Macaca fascicularis: one gene and its partners. The protein of the gene in region 1 purifies or fractionates together with the protein of each later gene. This does not show direct contact. Links are inferred from orthologs where the notes say so. Each region holds a gene or a part of one and is shown on either strand. Other genes may lie near its edges.

Region 1 (5,310 bases):
ACAGGAACTAAAGTGCTAAGAACATCACCTTAGAATCAATTCCAAGGACTTGCATGAAGAGAAAAATATCCTCCCATATGAAAATATTTGCAATAGGAGAACACAGTGCAATATGCTCCAAAAATGGCTTTTAAGACCTTTGGTGGGACACAGTTACTACCGCTTTAAAAGCCAGGTTAAAGTACACTCTAAGCAAAGACGACCATAGAGCAGCTAGCTTCTTTTTTTATAATCACAGAGAAAGCTCTCTCCAAATGTCCATCAAATCAGCCCTAGAAGGTTTTTCTTTTTTTTCTGCAAGTGCACAAAGGGGAATACTGATTTTAAGAACCTCCTTTTCCCAAAGTTTTGGCCATAATTTCCCTTTTCATGTTCCTAGTTTGCTAAATTGGCTCTTTTCCACATGATAGATACATAAGTTGAAGGTCCAAAGTGGTTATCACAATTTGCACAAAGCCTCCAAGAAACCTTGAAAAGCTCATGCCAGGAGGCCATTTTTACCTGACCCGAAACTACCGAAAAGGCCTCAATTTTCAAGGAGATCTGAGAAAATGGATGGGCCTGAGTTTTTCTAGCTGTTTTTAAACCCATCCAACAAACACCCCTGTATCACAACATCGGCGCTGGCTGAGGATGAGTCCGCATCCTTTAAGGCCCAGGAGATTGCCTGCTGACCACCTCCTGCATTGGGAAGTCAGAGGCTAAGGTGGATCCACACTCCATTGCAGAGACTACTGAGTCTCTGAAAAAGTGAGAGTCCAGGAAGAGAGACAAAAAGAAAGAAGTAGGTAAAGCTGCTTCTTTTCTTCCACATGTTCACTGCACGTTGTTGTTGAGGATGCACGGATCCACCTAAAGGAAGAAACAGACTATTTCAGTTCAGATAAGAACTAAAAGAACAAACCAGTTTAGCAATCCCCCTAAGTCAACTTCTTATAGAAAGCTTAGGACAAATTTTAACAGTAAATATGACAATTCTCACCTCAGTATAAGTAGGTGGTGGCATGAACTTGAACTCAGGGGCATACATAAAGATAGGGCTGTCTTGAGCGCCATCCATGTCATCTAGCAGAGGAGTGGTGGGGCTCTCCAATCGGTGATCTTCGGGAATGATATCCATATAGCAGGGAGGAGCTAGAAAAGAAAATATGGCCACATAAGAAGCCTGCCCAAGAAATGCTGGACCATCACAATTTTACAAACCCAGGTAGACCAGAAATGAAGAAAAGACATTAGGTCTGGCTCACCTTCTGGGGTATCAGGGATATTCAGATCTACCCAACTCATCTCAGAGCTGGTTCGGCTGGCCATGCTGGATGTTCTGCTGCTTAGACCTGATCTGCTGCCAATTACCAGGGGCAGGTCAAGGATGACCTTCTTGGACCCAGGAACGCTAACATAGATCTAGAAAAGGAAGATGGTAGTTTGTTAGACCAGAGCGCTCTGGTGAAACAAGACAGTTATGGTAACAGATGAACAATTTCTCTGCTGAACCCACCCTGCATCTACTCACCAGTAAAGAATATTCAACTCGAAGAATGTTGCAGCCCAGGATAGAAGGCCTGATCTTCTGAACCCGAAGGCTCTTTCCACGCCATGATGCACATGTCCCTGAGATAATATGATTGCCTCTGACTGATGACAACTTCTGAGTCAGCACCTTGGTCTGGCCATTGGCAAGATAAGTGTGGCGGGCCACAATGGCAGCTTTGGGGACCACAATTCGGGAACACGTATTCTCAAAGTCAGCATGGATGGAAATCTCGTCACCTAGCAAAGAGAAAAATGAAAACTTACTGATACTCAGTATAGTTAATGACATTTCCTCTACCCCAGTCCCATGCCCTTGCCCCTAAACCTAGTTCCTGTTATATCTGTCTGCCATAAGCACTAGGATTTTACCTTCACAGAATCCTTTTCTGTCAATTCGAGCAGAGACAGACACCCGCCCATCAGGAATGAACATGCAGGAAACTTTCTTTTCCTTTTTAGCAGACACAGGTGCCTATGTAGAAGGGGACAAAAAGGTGTTTTGAGATGCTTCAATCTAATGCCCAAGACATCTGATTTATCATCCCTGTGACCCAGGAGAATATAATCTTTAAAATGAATCTCACCATTAAATCAGGGGTATTGACATCCACCAGATCCACTACTTCAAAGTTTTTCTTTGTCTCCTGAGTTGGCTGGCTGGGGCGGTCAAGAAAAGCCTTCACCCAGTAGTCTACACACCCATATTTTCCTTTGAAGGATGTTCCCAGAGGCCTGTGTCAAGAAAATGAAAATTTTTAAATGCTCTCCAAGGAACAGTAAGTGATCAAAGGAGGGCAAGATATTTTAGACAGAAAAGTTCAAAGATGCATTTAGCTGATATTTACCCCTGGGGAAGCTCAAAGCCGAACTTGTACTCATATTTGTTTCCAGGTCTCATGATCACCATCTCATTCTCACCTGAAGGGAAAGATAATCGAGTAGCCATTAGGCTTCCTGTTACACTTAAAACGCATCTGTGTGATAAGGAATGTTTGGGTGGCATGCAAGGTATTGAAGTACCCCTAATTTCGTCCCACAGAGAGGTATTTTAATCATCCCATGTTGTTCTTAAAGAGAAATTCTGATGTATTTTGTTGGGCAGCAAGTTCCCAAGTTGCCCTGCAATGCTTTTAAAGATTCACCCAGGACAGTTCTTCACTAACATCTCAAACAGGAAGTAGGCAAAGAATAAGCAACTAATGCACACATAAGATTTTTAACTATCCGAGGCAATGCCCCTCAGAACCACCTTTAGGACACAGCACCATAAAAAATTGTACAAACCACCCTTTTTTTTGGGGGGTGTGGGGGGGAGAATGTCTGCAAATTAGAAAAAAGGAAGTAACAACGTGCAATTCACACCACTCAAACTGAGCAACTTAAAACATTTCGTATAGTTTTGTGTATTCCTTTCAATTCTCTTCTCTAATCAGCTTTCACCCTCCAACAATGAATTGGGCCGCTTACCTGTTGGCTGGTCTTCCGGAAGAAGCGTGTCTTCATAGCGCAGGTACTCCGAAGTCTGTTTGCACTGCTGGGATCCCTGCATCCAGAGCACTTTAGCCACTCCGCAAGCAAGGATCCTAACGGCTTTGACACGAGTAACTTCACACACCTCCACTATCACCCGGCCAGCCACCTTCTCACCACTGCCGTACACCTTTTCAGGGTCGTTAAAGACCACCTCAAAAGACTTGATCTTCTTGAACATCACCATGATGGGACGGAGTTGGTTTGAGAGTTAGAAAAGACCGTGGAAGAATAAAAAAAAAAATGCACCAAATCGAGGAAATTCCTTTGCAGTAAATTATTTCACTCTTCCTAAGGAATGAAGATATTCTTAAGCAGTTTGAGCTTAAAAATGAGATTTAAACAAATGAATTTTAACTAGGTTTTCGAAAAGGCGTCCAAAAAATTTACGCCGCTGGTTACACTAAGCGATTTCAGAGAAAAAGTCTTCTTTTCCCCGATTGCTGGAGAAGAGATCCGATCTCCGCAAGCACTTCTTGACAGAGAAAGAGAGGTTAGTTTCAAGCAGCAGGCGGAAACGGCTCTATATAGAAGCCCCGGCCAGAAGAGCCACGCGAGCGCTGGGTCGGAGGCTCGTGCTGCCCTCGTGCACATCCCTCCCATTGGCTGCCCGGTCCTTGTTTACCAGGAGCCCGACCAATCAGTGAGATCGCTGAGGCGCGTGGACACGGTGTGCTCCTGGCGGGGAAAATGGTTGTTGTGCTCGGGAGCGGCGCAGGGAGGGGGGAAGGAGAGGAATGAGGGGAAGGAGGGGGCTTTTGAGTCTTTACCCGGGCCTAGTGGAAGGAGGATACCACTGACCCTAAAACCTAGCCAGGGCGACAGGCCATCGGAGGGCGGGTGTGGACGTTTCTGGTCTGAGAGCGGTGGTTTGAGGTAAAAAGAAAATGTGCTTATGAGGGAATTTCGTGCCTAGTCTTAGCCAGTGCAATTACTTTATAGTCTGTCGTTTATTCGTGGCTCGTAAATAGCAAGTGTGTGAAAATCCCATAGCTCCAAGAATACTTTTAGGTTTGGGGCCGTGGAGCGCAGAATGCTTGGTGTTACTGTTAAGGAACAGCCCCTTTGTCCTTCTCTTGCCCCGCATCCCTATTAAATGTAAAAAAACACCACCATCTCTGAGGGAAAGGAGAACTTTCAGGCCTCATTGCGGCTGTAGGACTGATGTCTTCTACTTCCCGTTCCAATCCCTTGGGGCTAGGGCTGGGGGCTGCGTGCGTGTGCTGTTCGTCACCCCCCGCCCCTTGTACCCTCTCTTCTGTTCTCTCTGTTCTCTGGCACGGAAATAGGACAGGCGTGTTTACATCCTGTTGCTTATCCTGTTATCTCTTCAATTTCTGCCTGCAAAGTTGGGGAACACTTTGTCTGTGTTTCCCATTTACCTCATTACCTCTTTAGTGAGGTGTGTCCAGGCGCTGATAATCTCGCACTCCCTACCTGCTTCTGGAGGAAAAGGAAGGGGGGGGGGAACAAGGATGCTTCACTTTTTTCACTTTCTTCCAGAGTTATGTTCACTCTTTCTTGTCTCCCTCCCCTCTCCCAACTCACTAAATCAAATATACATCCATAAATCTGGTTAAAAGCAAGAAAGTCCTCTTGTTTATATCCAAATTTCCAGTGGAGAGATGGCCATACACCTGTTTGAAGGAACAATTTTAAAAAATATTTTCAAAGGTTTTTCCCTAAACGGTTTAGAAAACAGTAAGAAGGAAAAGAGAAGAAAGATCGGTCACTAGAGCACTATAAATTCAAGCCAGAAGAGACCCTACCCTCCCTTTGTTGGTTTCATTCTTTGCTGGTTTCGTTTGGCCAGCTGTCAGATGGATTTTCCCCTGCTGGCTGTGAGATGCTTTAGGAGCTGAGTACTGAGAACTTACTCTTAAATGTAATAAGAAAAACCTGTATGCAGAAGTGCAGGGATTCTTCCCCCTTTTCTTTGATTCATAGACCCTTCCCATATCTGTGCTGGGGTATCAGAAGATTATCATCTCATTCCTTGGGCTGGAAAGGAAGATAATGTCCCAAGATTGAGATGGGGAAGTAACTAAGAAGCATTCAAGTATATTGAAACCCTACCCAGTCAGCAAAAAAGAAACCTATTCATTGCTGTTAAGGAGACTTCTTCCTTCCTCAGACACCCTAGCTGGATTGACACCCCAAGGCTAACAAGTTACAACTCAACCCCAATATTAAACAAGCTCAAGAATAGGCATCATGAGTCTCTTGGAAAACACACACACACACACA
Region 2 (4,851 bases), about 110 Mb from region 1:
CTACACTGAGTTCCACTACCTTCTCTCTGAGTGTCCTTGGACAAAGTTACGAGGCTCCCTGAGTTGTATTTTCTCCTCTTTAAACTGGAGACACAGATACCCACCTTACAGCATCTTTCTGACGCCAACTGAGAAAATCCATGTAAGAACAGGAAAGAGCAGGTGATACGGGAAAGTGGTATAGGGAAAGTGGTACAGGGAAAGTGCATGATTATTAGTGGGTATTCTCTACTACTGTTTACTGCAGAATTCCAACAAGAACCAAAAGGTTTATGTAACTGCCAAAAAGCATAAGGAAATCAGAGGCTCCACCAGTGAAACCATAGTTCTCTGCAACAGGAGCTAAAACATCCACCACACGTCATCAGGTCTGGGCACCAAATTTCAAAGAGAGACACTAACAAACCAGCCTGTGTACCTGGGAGAGCATGGCTACACAGGTGAAGGTGCTGAGCCCTGACACTGTTGAGGATAAAGAGGCTGCAGGGTAAAAGCTCTCTCCTAGTGCAGAGGCTGCAGGGTAAAATCCCTCTCCTACTGTAGAGGCTGCAGGGTAAGAGCTCTTTCCTGGTGTAGAGGCTGCACGCACTGGACGATAACTTGCATGCATGCACACATAAAATGGGTGACTATTCATGTGAGTGCCTTGGAAACAAGTTTTTTCCTTAATGGGCAATTGGGCTGCACAATCTCTAAGGTTTTTTCCAACACTAAGAAACTCTAATGCTATAATCATAAATTAGCATAAATTATCTCATTAGCAGTAGTATACATTATATACATCCAGTCCTTCAAACCATTTCTGATGTTTTTACCTCCTTACTCTACCTTCAACTCTGCCTGACCAGAGTAACCCCCATCCACATTTTCCACATAATTCACCTCTGAAAAGAAGTTACTTTTCTGCTGAGACACCCATGAAGACTTACCCCAGTTTCTGCAGGTTACATTGTGGATTCTTGGCTTTTTCACATAAAATTGCGACTCCTGCGTCTCCCAGGGCATTCTCCCCCACGTAGAGTCTGGTCAGGGAACGGCTGGTGCTCAATACTGACGCAAGATCCTGACAACACGCTGATGTGAGGCAGCAGCTGACCAGCCTTCCACAAAGATGGCAGAATGTCAGTCATGTCTCTCACCCACGCTCCACCATGAACAAGGAGGCACCCGTACCTGCCACTGCCTCTACTCCAGTTTACACATGGAAAGGGAGTGGACACAAGCTCTACGTACACTTCTGATTTCCTCTTCCATCTGGCGGAATAACAAGCTCGCACCAATACTACATCTTCCCAGCTCCCTACATTCAGCTTTATTGTGGTGAAATACGTGTAAAATGAAATTTACCATCTTAACCATTTTTAAGTGCACGATTAACGGCCTTAAGCACATTCACATTGTTGTGCAACCATCTTCACCACCGTCTCCAGAACTCCTTTCATCTTGCCGAAATGAAACTCCATAACCATTAAACAATGTCTTCCCGTTCCCCACTCTCCCATTGCCTGCAACCACCTTTCTTTCTGTCTCTATGAATCTGACTATTCTAGGCACCTCCTATCAGGACAATCACAGAGTATTTGCCCTTTCAAGCCTAGCTTATCTTACTTAGCATAATGTCCCTGAGGCTCATCCATGTTGTAGTGTGTACTAGAATTCCTTTTAAAGCTGAATGTACATATATAGCACTTTTCAACACCCTTTATCCGTTGAAGGACGTTTGGGTTATTTCTACCTTTTGGCTAGTGCTAATAGTGTTGCTATGGACATGGGTGTACAAATAACATGTTTGAGTTCCTGCCTTCTTTTTTTTTTTAACTCTTCCTCGGTTACCCAGGTGGGAATGCAGTGGCGTGATCTTGACTCACTGCAACCTCCGCCTCCCAGGTTCAAACGATTCTCTTGCCTCCACCCAGAGTAGCTGGGATTACAAGCACGTGCCACCACGCCTGGCTAATTTTTGTATTTTTAGTAGAGACAAGGTTTTACTATGATGGCCAGGCTAGTCTCAAACTCCTGACCTCAAGTGATCCACCTGCCTCGGCCTCCCAAAATGCTGGGATTACAGGTGTGAGCCACTGTGCCTGGCTGAGTTACTGCTTTGAACTCTTTTGCAGATATACCCAGGAGTGGAAATGCTGGCTTCAATAGTAATTCTATATTGTTTTAGGAATTGCAGTGCTGTTTTCCACACTGGCTGCATCATTTACTTTCCCACCAGCAATACACAATGGCTTCCATTTCTCCGTATCCATGCCAATACTTGTTTTCTAGTTTTCTTGCTTTTGTTTAATAATAGCCATCCTAATGGGTGAGAATTGGCCCTTCCATTTTTAAGTGTTTTTTTCTCTCCTTCAAAATGCAAGTCTCCCAGAAGCATTCAGGGAAGGGCTGCGTACAACATCGAGTGTCTGCACTGCTTTAGCACCATTTTTCTTATACAACATGAGGACCCAGGGCTTGTCATGAAATTCTAAAACTCCTCTAAAGCAATGCATTACACTGGTTTTCTTCTTTTTCTCAGCTAAGGCAGTGGGCACCCTACAGGCAGTCATCTTCTTTTTTTATTACTTATGCCCCTTGTCAGGGTTGAGTGTGTGACTTTCCCCACAGCAAACACTAACTGACCGAAATGCCACAGACACCCAGAGACAAGCACACACAGCCACCTGAGCCGCCGAGGCCACTGTCACTCAAACTCCAGCCCCCCAGGCCTCACTGAAGCCAGAGTGCGAAACATGCCTTGTTGGCAGGGCTTCCTTTGGGGAACGGGCTCAACTCACCAGAGCTTCTTCAGATTGCACAACAGGTGCTTCAGTCCGACACACAGAAGTCTGATCCCGAAGTCCCCAAGGGCGTTGTCGCTCAGGTCCAGCTCCACCAGCTTCTGGTTGCTGCTGAGGACCAAGGAGATGTCGAAGCAGCACTCATGCGAGAGGCCGCAGCGCCCCAACCTTCATGCCAAGAACAGAGGCAGAAAGCGTCAGAACACATCTGACCAGAGAACTCCGGAATACAGCACAAGGTCAGCCCTCAGGCTCCCCAGTCACAGCAGAGGGAGCACCCGTCAGTGAATTCCCGGCCATAAACAGTGCCGGGTGCATTGCAGTCACCCCCCAGACAAGTGAATGGTGAGCTCCTGGCTTGTAAGTGAAACGGGTGGTGTGGGCCTGTGCACTCCACCTCCTTCCCTCGTGTTCCTAACTGTTGATGTGCCCGCAGTCGGCTCTGCCCTCGCCAGCGCTGCACTCAGCTATTTCTTGTCTTTACCAACATTGTCACCCCATTGTGCTTGATGATTTCATCCCAGCCATCCATCTATATTGAAAGGAAAAGCAGCTCTGATTCTTTTTCTCTTTCTTTTTCTTTTCTTTTTTTTTAGAGACAGGGTCTCACTTTGTTGCACAGGCTGGAGTGCAATGGTGAGATCATAGCTCACTGCCACCTAGAACTCCTGTGCTCAAGGAGATCCACCTGCCTCAGCCTCCCAAGTGGCTGCAAATACCAGCATGTGCTACCATGCTTAGCTATTTTATTTATTTATTTATTTATTTATTTATTTATTTATTATTTTGTAAAGACAAGGTCTCACCAGCTTGCTCAGGCTGGTTTTGAACTCCTGGGCTTATGATCTGCCCACCTCAGCCTCTCAAAGTGCTGGGGTTCCGCACCCCGCTGCAGCTCTGATTCTTTATTGGTTTCACCGTTACACACATGCACACACACACACGCACATCACTACCACCGTCACCACCACCACCAGCAACAAAAATGTATCCCTGTCGTGGGGGCGAGAACGACATTCTAGTTTCTTTCCAGGGCAATAGTTCATAGGTCCTGGAGCCTGTTAGACCACCTCCTTTCTGTTCCTATCCTTACACCAACTTCAAGCAAATGGACAAATGGATCTCTACTTATCTGCAGAACATCTCATTGTCACCTACCCTTTCCTGTTTGTGTCTCCCTCTCCAGAATCACACAGGGGCAATGGCAGTGGGGAGAGAACTTGGGGATGAAGTTGGAGAAATAAGGTTAAGTGTCCCAAAGAGCCAGTCTCCATGGTACGACAATTTGAAATTTATCAAAAGAGCAAAGATCAAGAGAGTGTGATCTATATACACAATGGAATACTGCTCAGCCATAGAAAAGAAGGAAGTCACATCTTTGAAGCCACATGGATGAAACTGGAGGCCATTATCTTAAGTGAAATACCTCAGAAACAGAGTCAAATACCACATGTTCTCACTTACAAGTTTGAGCTAAACAAAGGGTAACATCCACAGAGCGTAGAATGATAGACACTGGAGCCTCAGAAGGGTGGGAGGGTGGGACCCAGGTGAGGGCTGGAAAATTACTTATTGGGTACAATGTTCACTATTTGGGTAAGAGTTACACAAAGGCCGGGTGCGGTGTCTCACGCCTGTAATCCCAGCACTTTGGGAGGCCAAGGCGGGCAGATCACGAGGTCAGGAGTTTGAGACCAGCCTAGCCAATATAGTGAAATCTTGTCTCTACCAAAAATATAAAAATTAGCTGGGCGTGGTGGCCCACGCCTGCAATCCCAACTACTCGGGAGGCTGAGGCAGAAGAATCGCTTAAACCCGGGAGGTGGATGTTGCAGTGAGCCAAGATTGTGCCATTGCACTCCAGCCCGTGCGACAAGGCAAGACTCTGTCTCAAAAAAAAAAAAGGGGGGGGTTACAGTAAAAGCCCAGACACTACCACTGTGCAATAATATATCCATGGAACAAAGCTGCGCTTGCGCCTCCTACATCGACAAAAATAAATAAATAAAGTAAAATATAAGGAGCAGAGCAGAGAGAAAGCATTTAAGTCACGGAACAGCACAAT
Region 3 (4,851 bases), on another chromosome or scaffold:
AAATATCTAACAGAGTACAAAAGTACAAAAGAAGAAAATCAGCTATTGCTAATTTCTCTCACTCAGAGATGACTGGTTTAGCAGAAACAGAAGAGGCCAAGAATGTCAAGCTAAGAAGGGTACATTGAAGTTGGTAAGCAGAGACACTAAGGATATAAATTTGAAAGGCCATAGCAATTTACAAGAAGGGAAAAAAGAATGGCTGTGACATTTTACAAAAGCCACATAGCAATATCTATTAAATACTTTTTGACCAAGTAACTTCACTTTTTAAAAATCTAGCCCACAAAACAAGTAGCAGGATGTATGGATTCATGCTTAAGGAAGTTTTCTGCTGTCTTCTTTGCAGTGGCCCAAACTGGACACAACCTAAATGATCTCTATTGACAGGAATAGCTGAAAAATATAGGGAAAAAACCACCCCAGTTTACCTAGCTATTAAAAAATGAGCTAGATTTAACTGTACTGTCCTTAAGACAAAAAAGTAAAATACAGAGTAATGTGTATAATCCAATCCCATTTTCAAAACAAATATAAAAAACAAAAAATCTGAAAGAGACAGAGATGACAGCTAGCATCTAAGAGGGTGAAAATGGTAGTACTATTCATAGAAGACATCAGTAGGAGAAAATATCTAGAAAAAATGAAAAGTTTGATTTTAGACCCATGACATTTTAAGATGGGTCATCTGTAGTTCACGTGTTGGCAAAGTATGACCCGTGGGCCTAATCATCTGGTTTTTTTGTCCCCAGCATTTGAGCTAAGAATAGTTTTTACATTTTAAAAAAATGACTGAAAAATATTAAAAGTATTTTGGGATATGAAAATCATACAAAATCAAATTTCAGTGTCTACAAGTGTTTTACTAGAACACAGCCACACATCTATTTATACACTGTCTATGGTTACCTTCACACTATACCACAGAGGTGAGTAGTTGCAATAAGAAATGTGGCCTGTAAGCCTAACAAGTTTACTGCCTGGTTCTTTCCTGAAAATGTTTGGATTTACCTGGCTGGCAAATGGAAATTATTTCTAAAGTTCAGATATAACTTTAACAGAAAATTGAAGCTATGTTAGCAGAATATTTAGATAAGCAGGTTGAAATAAAATCTTGGAAAAATGCCTACATTTAGGAAATAGGAGATTTAGAGAACCGTCATTAAAAAAGTGCAAGTGACCAGGAGTGGTGACTCATGCCTGTAATCCCAGCATTTTGGGAGGCTGAGGAAGGAGGATGACTTGAGGCCAAGAGTTTGAGACCAGCCTGGGCAATACAGTGAGACCCTGTCTTTAAAAAACAAAAACAAAAACAAAAACAAAAAACCATTGTTTTAAATTAGCTGGGAATAGTAGTATAAGCCTGTAGTACCAGCTACTCAGGAGACTAAGGCAGGAGAATAGCTTGAGCTCAATGGTCAACCACGCCACTACTACAGCCTGAGCGACAGAGTGAAACCCTCTCTGAAAACAAAATTTTAAAACAAGAGAATGTAAGGAAAATCAGTATGACATAGGATCATGGAATTCAAGAAAACACTGAGTTTCAAGAAAGAGGCTATGGTGAGCACTATTTAAAAGCCTAAGTTAAAAAAGGGAAAATGACATGGAAAGGGAAATGGTAGAATGGTTACAGCAAATGGCAGTGGGAAAATGAAGCAACATACATTCTTTTTTTTTCAAGAGCAGTGGTACTGGTGAGAAGAACTTCCCAAAGGCATGAAAAGGGGATGAAATTAAGGGTACAGAGAAAGGATTTAGTTCTGAAGTGTTCTAGAAATTAAGCTTAATAAGGTATATCGCCTTACCCAATATATTCATCTTTGTTCTCCTCAGTCACCAGAATATTGGAACCTCCCAATTTCAGGTCATGTGAAGTAACTTTTCCCAAAATCTCCATGTCAACAGAAAAGTACATTTCTAAGCCACATTCTTCAATGTTGTTATCTCTGGGTGAAATAAATATATATACACTAATTAACAAAATGAAACAAAACGAGTTTCAAAAAAATGACTTACTGCAAAACAAAATCTTCAAACCTTATCCAGATAAGGGAGTTATAAAATTCAGTATCAATAGATTCCAAATCCTTAATAGTAAGTTTTTTACTTAACATACGCTTGTAGAATGGTAAAGAGAAACCAGTATCGATAAACTTTCCATGAAATAGTGCCTGCAAAGAAAAATGAAAAATTTTATTTAAAATTTGCAAAATAACAATTTCTTACAGAACAATGATAACAGAAAAATCATGAGACTTTACAAGTAAAGCATTCAGTAAGTGAATGGCATAAATCATGAAAACTAAAATATTATATAAAATGCTAGGTATGAAAAACAAAGTTAAAATCTATTTTATACATACAGCTATATAACATATATCAAAAAATGTAGAGGATGATACAAGACTTCTGTTACCATACCCTGCCTCAATCTTCCTAAATGTTTTATAAATTGAATTAACCTAATTGGATAACGAAATAGAAAAGGGCTCTGTGCACCTGAAAAGGCAGCTCCCCCGTTCCTTTCTTATTCTCACTGTTGCATGTGAGGCTTTTAGGACTAACCTCACTGTGCCTTTGCTCCTATTCACAACAGCCAACCCAGGAAGCCCCAGACTCCCAGCAATGTGGGGGAACTAAAAAAATCCACTGAAGCTATTAATACTACCTTAGCCTCCTCATGAAGTTATGTCTTCCCTTACTCAGTTTAGATTCCATAGTCAATCATTAAAATAACTACCTTCAAGGTGGGGCACGGTGGCTCACACTTGTAATCCCAGCACTTTGGGAGGCTGAGGCAGGTGGATCATGAGGTCAGGAGATCAACACCATCCTGGCTAACACAGTGAAACCCTGTCCTTACTAAAAATACAAAAAATCAGCTGGGAATGGTGGCACGCACCTGTAATCTCAGCTACTCAGGGGAATGAGGCAGGAGAATTGCTTGAACCTGGGAGGTGGAAGTTGCAGAGAGCCAAGATCACACCACTGCACTCCAGCCTAGGTGACAGAGCAAGACTCTGTCTCAAATAATAAAATAAAATAACTCCCTTCAAACCCTACCTCCGCCAGTGTATTCTAGCAAAATCCCAAGCACAGCTAAATTCAACTCTCAGGTTACTCAATGTCTATACCTAGGCAATGGAACATGCTAGAAATGCATAAACAACCAAGCTGACTCCTCCATGACCAACAGTCATATTTCATCACTGGTTTGTTTCCTGGTAATCACATTTCCCTACTGCATTCACTCTCCCACTTTCCTAGATGACTATTTCATTCCTACTCCTCTTTCCTCAAATACTTACTTCTCCCTGCTCCTTATTCTGAGTTGATGATCTTACTTCCTATTTCACAGAGGAAACAGAAGCAACCACAAGAGAACTTTTGTGTGTTCTACTATATCTGCTCACTACTAGCATCTGAATGCATATAATCTTATTACAGATAATCTTTCTATCAACTAGTATGTGTGCTAAATAAATCTCTTCCTCTCTCCAACTCAAGTCCATTGCTCTCATATTCCTTATATTCTGACTTTATCAAATTCTTTATCCTCTAACTTGGTAGTATTGTTTAGATGTTTCTCTCCTCCAAATCTCATGTTGAAATGTGATCCCCCAGCTGGCTTCTTCATACAGAAGAATGAAACCAGAGTGCTACCTCTCATCATACACAAAAATTAACTCAAGATGGACTAAATACTTAAATGTAAGACCTAAAACTATTAAAATCCTAGAAGAAAACCTAGGAAATGCCCTCTTGATATTAGCCTTGAGAAAAAAACTTCTAAGTCCTCAAAAGAATTGCAACAAAAACAAAAATTGATAAATAGGACATAGTTAAACTAAAGAGCTTCTGCACAGCAAAAGAGGGAGTAAGCTAACCTACAGAATGGGAGAAAATATTCATAAACTATGGATCCAACAAAGGTCTAATATCCAGAATTCATAAAGAACGTAAGCAAATCAACAAGAAAAAAGAACCCCATTAAAAAGTGGGCAAGCATAAACAGACACTTCTCAAAAGAAGATATATAAGCAGCTGCTGGGTGTGGTGGCTCACACCCGTAATCCCAGCACTTTGGGAAGTAGATCACCTGAGGTTAGGAGTTTGAGACTGGCGCAGTCAACATGGTGAAACCCCATCTCTATTAAAAATACAAAAATTAGCTGAGTTTGGTGGTGCACGCCTGTGGTCCCGGCTACTCAGGAGGTTGAGGCAGGAGAATTGCTTGAACCCAGAAGGCAGAGGTTGCAGTGAGCTGGGATAATGCCACTGCATTCCAGCCTGGGTGACAGAGTAAGACTCTGTCTCAAAAAAAATAAAATAAAAGACATATAAGCAGCCAACAAATACATGAAAAAATGCTCAACATCACTAATCATCAGAGAAATGCAAATCAAAACCACAATGAGACACCATCTCATACCATCATACCAGTCAGAATGGCTTTTGTTAAAACATTAAAAAATAATAGATGTTGGCAAGGCTGCAGAAAAAGAAGAGACATATACTTTGTTCAGAATGTAAATTAGTTCAGCCACTTTGAAAAGCAGGTTGGAAATTTCTCAATGAACTAAGAGTTGAACCACCATAAGAATCAGCAATACAGTTACTGGGTATAGATATCCAGAGGAAAATAAATTGTGCTACCAAAGGACGCATGCACTGTACATTTGCCACAGCGCTACTCACAATAGCAAAGACAGAATAAATCCAGGTGCCCATCAGTGGTGGACTGAATAAAGAAGATGTGGTACATAAGCACCATGGAATACTATTCAGCCATACAGAGAATGAAATCATATCCATTGCAATAACACAGATGCAGATGGAGGCCATTTT

What was found. Proteins that work in one complex are often made in the same cells at the same time.
Region 2: the proteins of TXNIP (region 1) and NLRP3 purify together in Homo sapiens (affinity purification with western blotting, with the first as the bait; 4 studies listed by BioGRID). This does not show direct contact. The link is inferred for Macaca fascicularis from reciprocal best matches to the Homo sapiens genes TXNIP and NLRP3.
Region 3: the proteins of TXNIP (region 1) and WWP1 purify together in Homo sapiens (affinity purification with mass spectrometry; 4 studies listed by BioGRID and IntAct, counting the BioPlex papers as one, with this or other methods). This does not show direct contact. The link is inferred for Macaca fascicularis from reciprocal best matches to the Homo sapiens genes TXNIP and WWP1.

Annotation. Positions count from the first base shown.
Region 1 is NC_088375.1:113,421,780-113,427,089, reverse strand, and holds the start of TXNIP (thioredoxin-interacting protein), read right to left. Parts: upstream 3,566-5,310; 5' UTR 3,251-3,565; coding exon 3,001-3,250; intron 2,452-3,000; coding exon 2,379-2,451; intron 2,266-2,378; coding exon 2,118-2,265; intron 2,006-2,117; coding exon 1,903-2,005; intron 1,771-1,902; coding exon 1,514-1,770; intron 1,405-1,513; coding exon 1,248-1,404; intron 1,135-1,247; coding exon 983-1,134; intron 853-982; coding exon 817-852; 3' UTR 1-816. UniProt on the Homo sapiens protein: May act as an oxidative stress mediator by inhibiting thioredoxin activity or by limiting its bioavailability.
Region 2 is NC_088375.1:1,648,655-1,653,505, forward strand, and holds part of NLRP3 (NACHT, LRR and PYD domains-containing protein 3), read right to left. Parts: intron 2,955-4,851; coding exon 2,784-2,954; intron 1,101-2,783; coding exon 930-1,100; intron 1-929. UniProt on the Homo sapiens protein: Sensor component of the NLRP3 inflammasome, which mediates inflammasome activation in response to defects in membrane integrity, leading to secretion of inflammatory cytokines IL1B and IL18 and pyroptosis.
Region 3 is NC_088382.1:96,198,825-96,203,675, reverse strand, and holds part of WWP1 (NEDD4-like E3 ubiquitin-protein ligase WWP1), read right to left. Parts: intron 2,175-4,851; coding exon 2,041-2,174; intron 1,950-2,040; coding exon 1,809-1,949; intron 1-1,808. UniProt on the Homo sapiens protein: E3 ubiquitin-protein ligase which accepts ubiquitin from an E2 ubiquitin-conjugating enzyme in the form of a thioester and then directly transfers the ubiquitin to targeted substrates.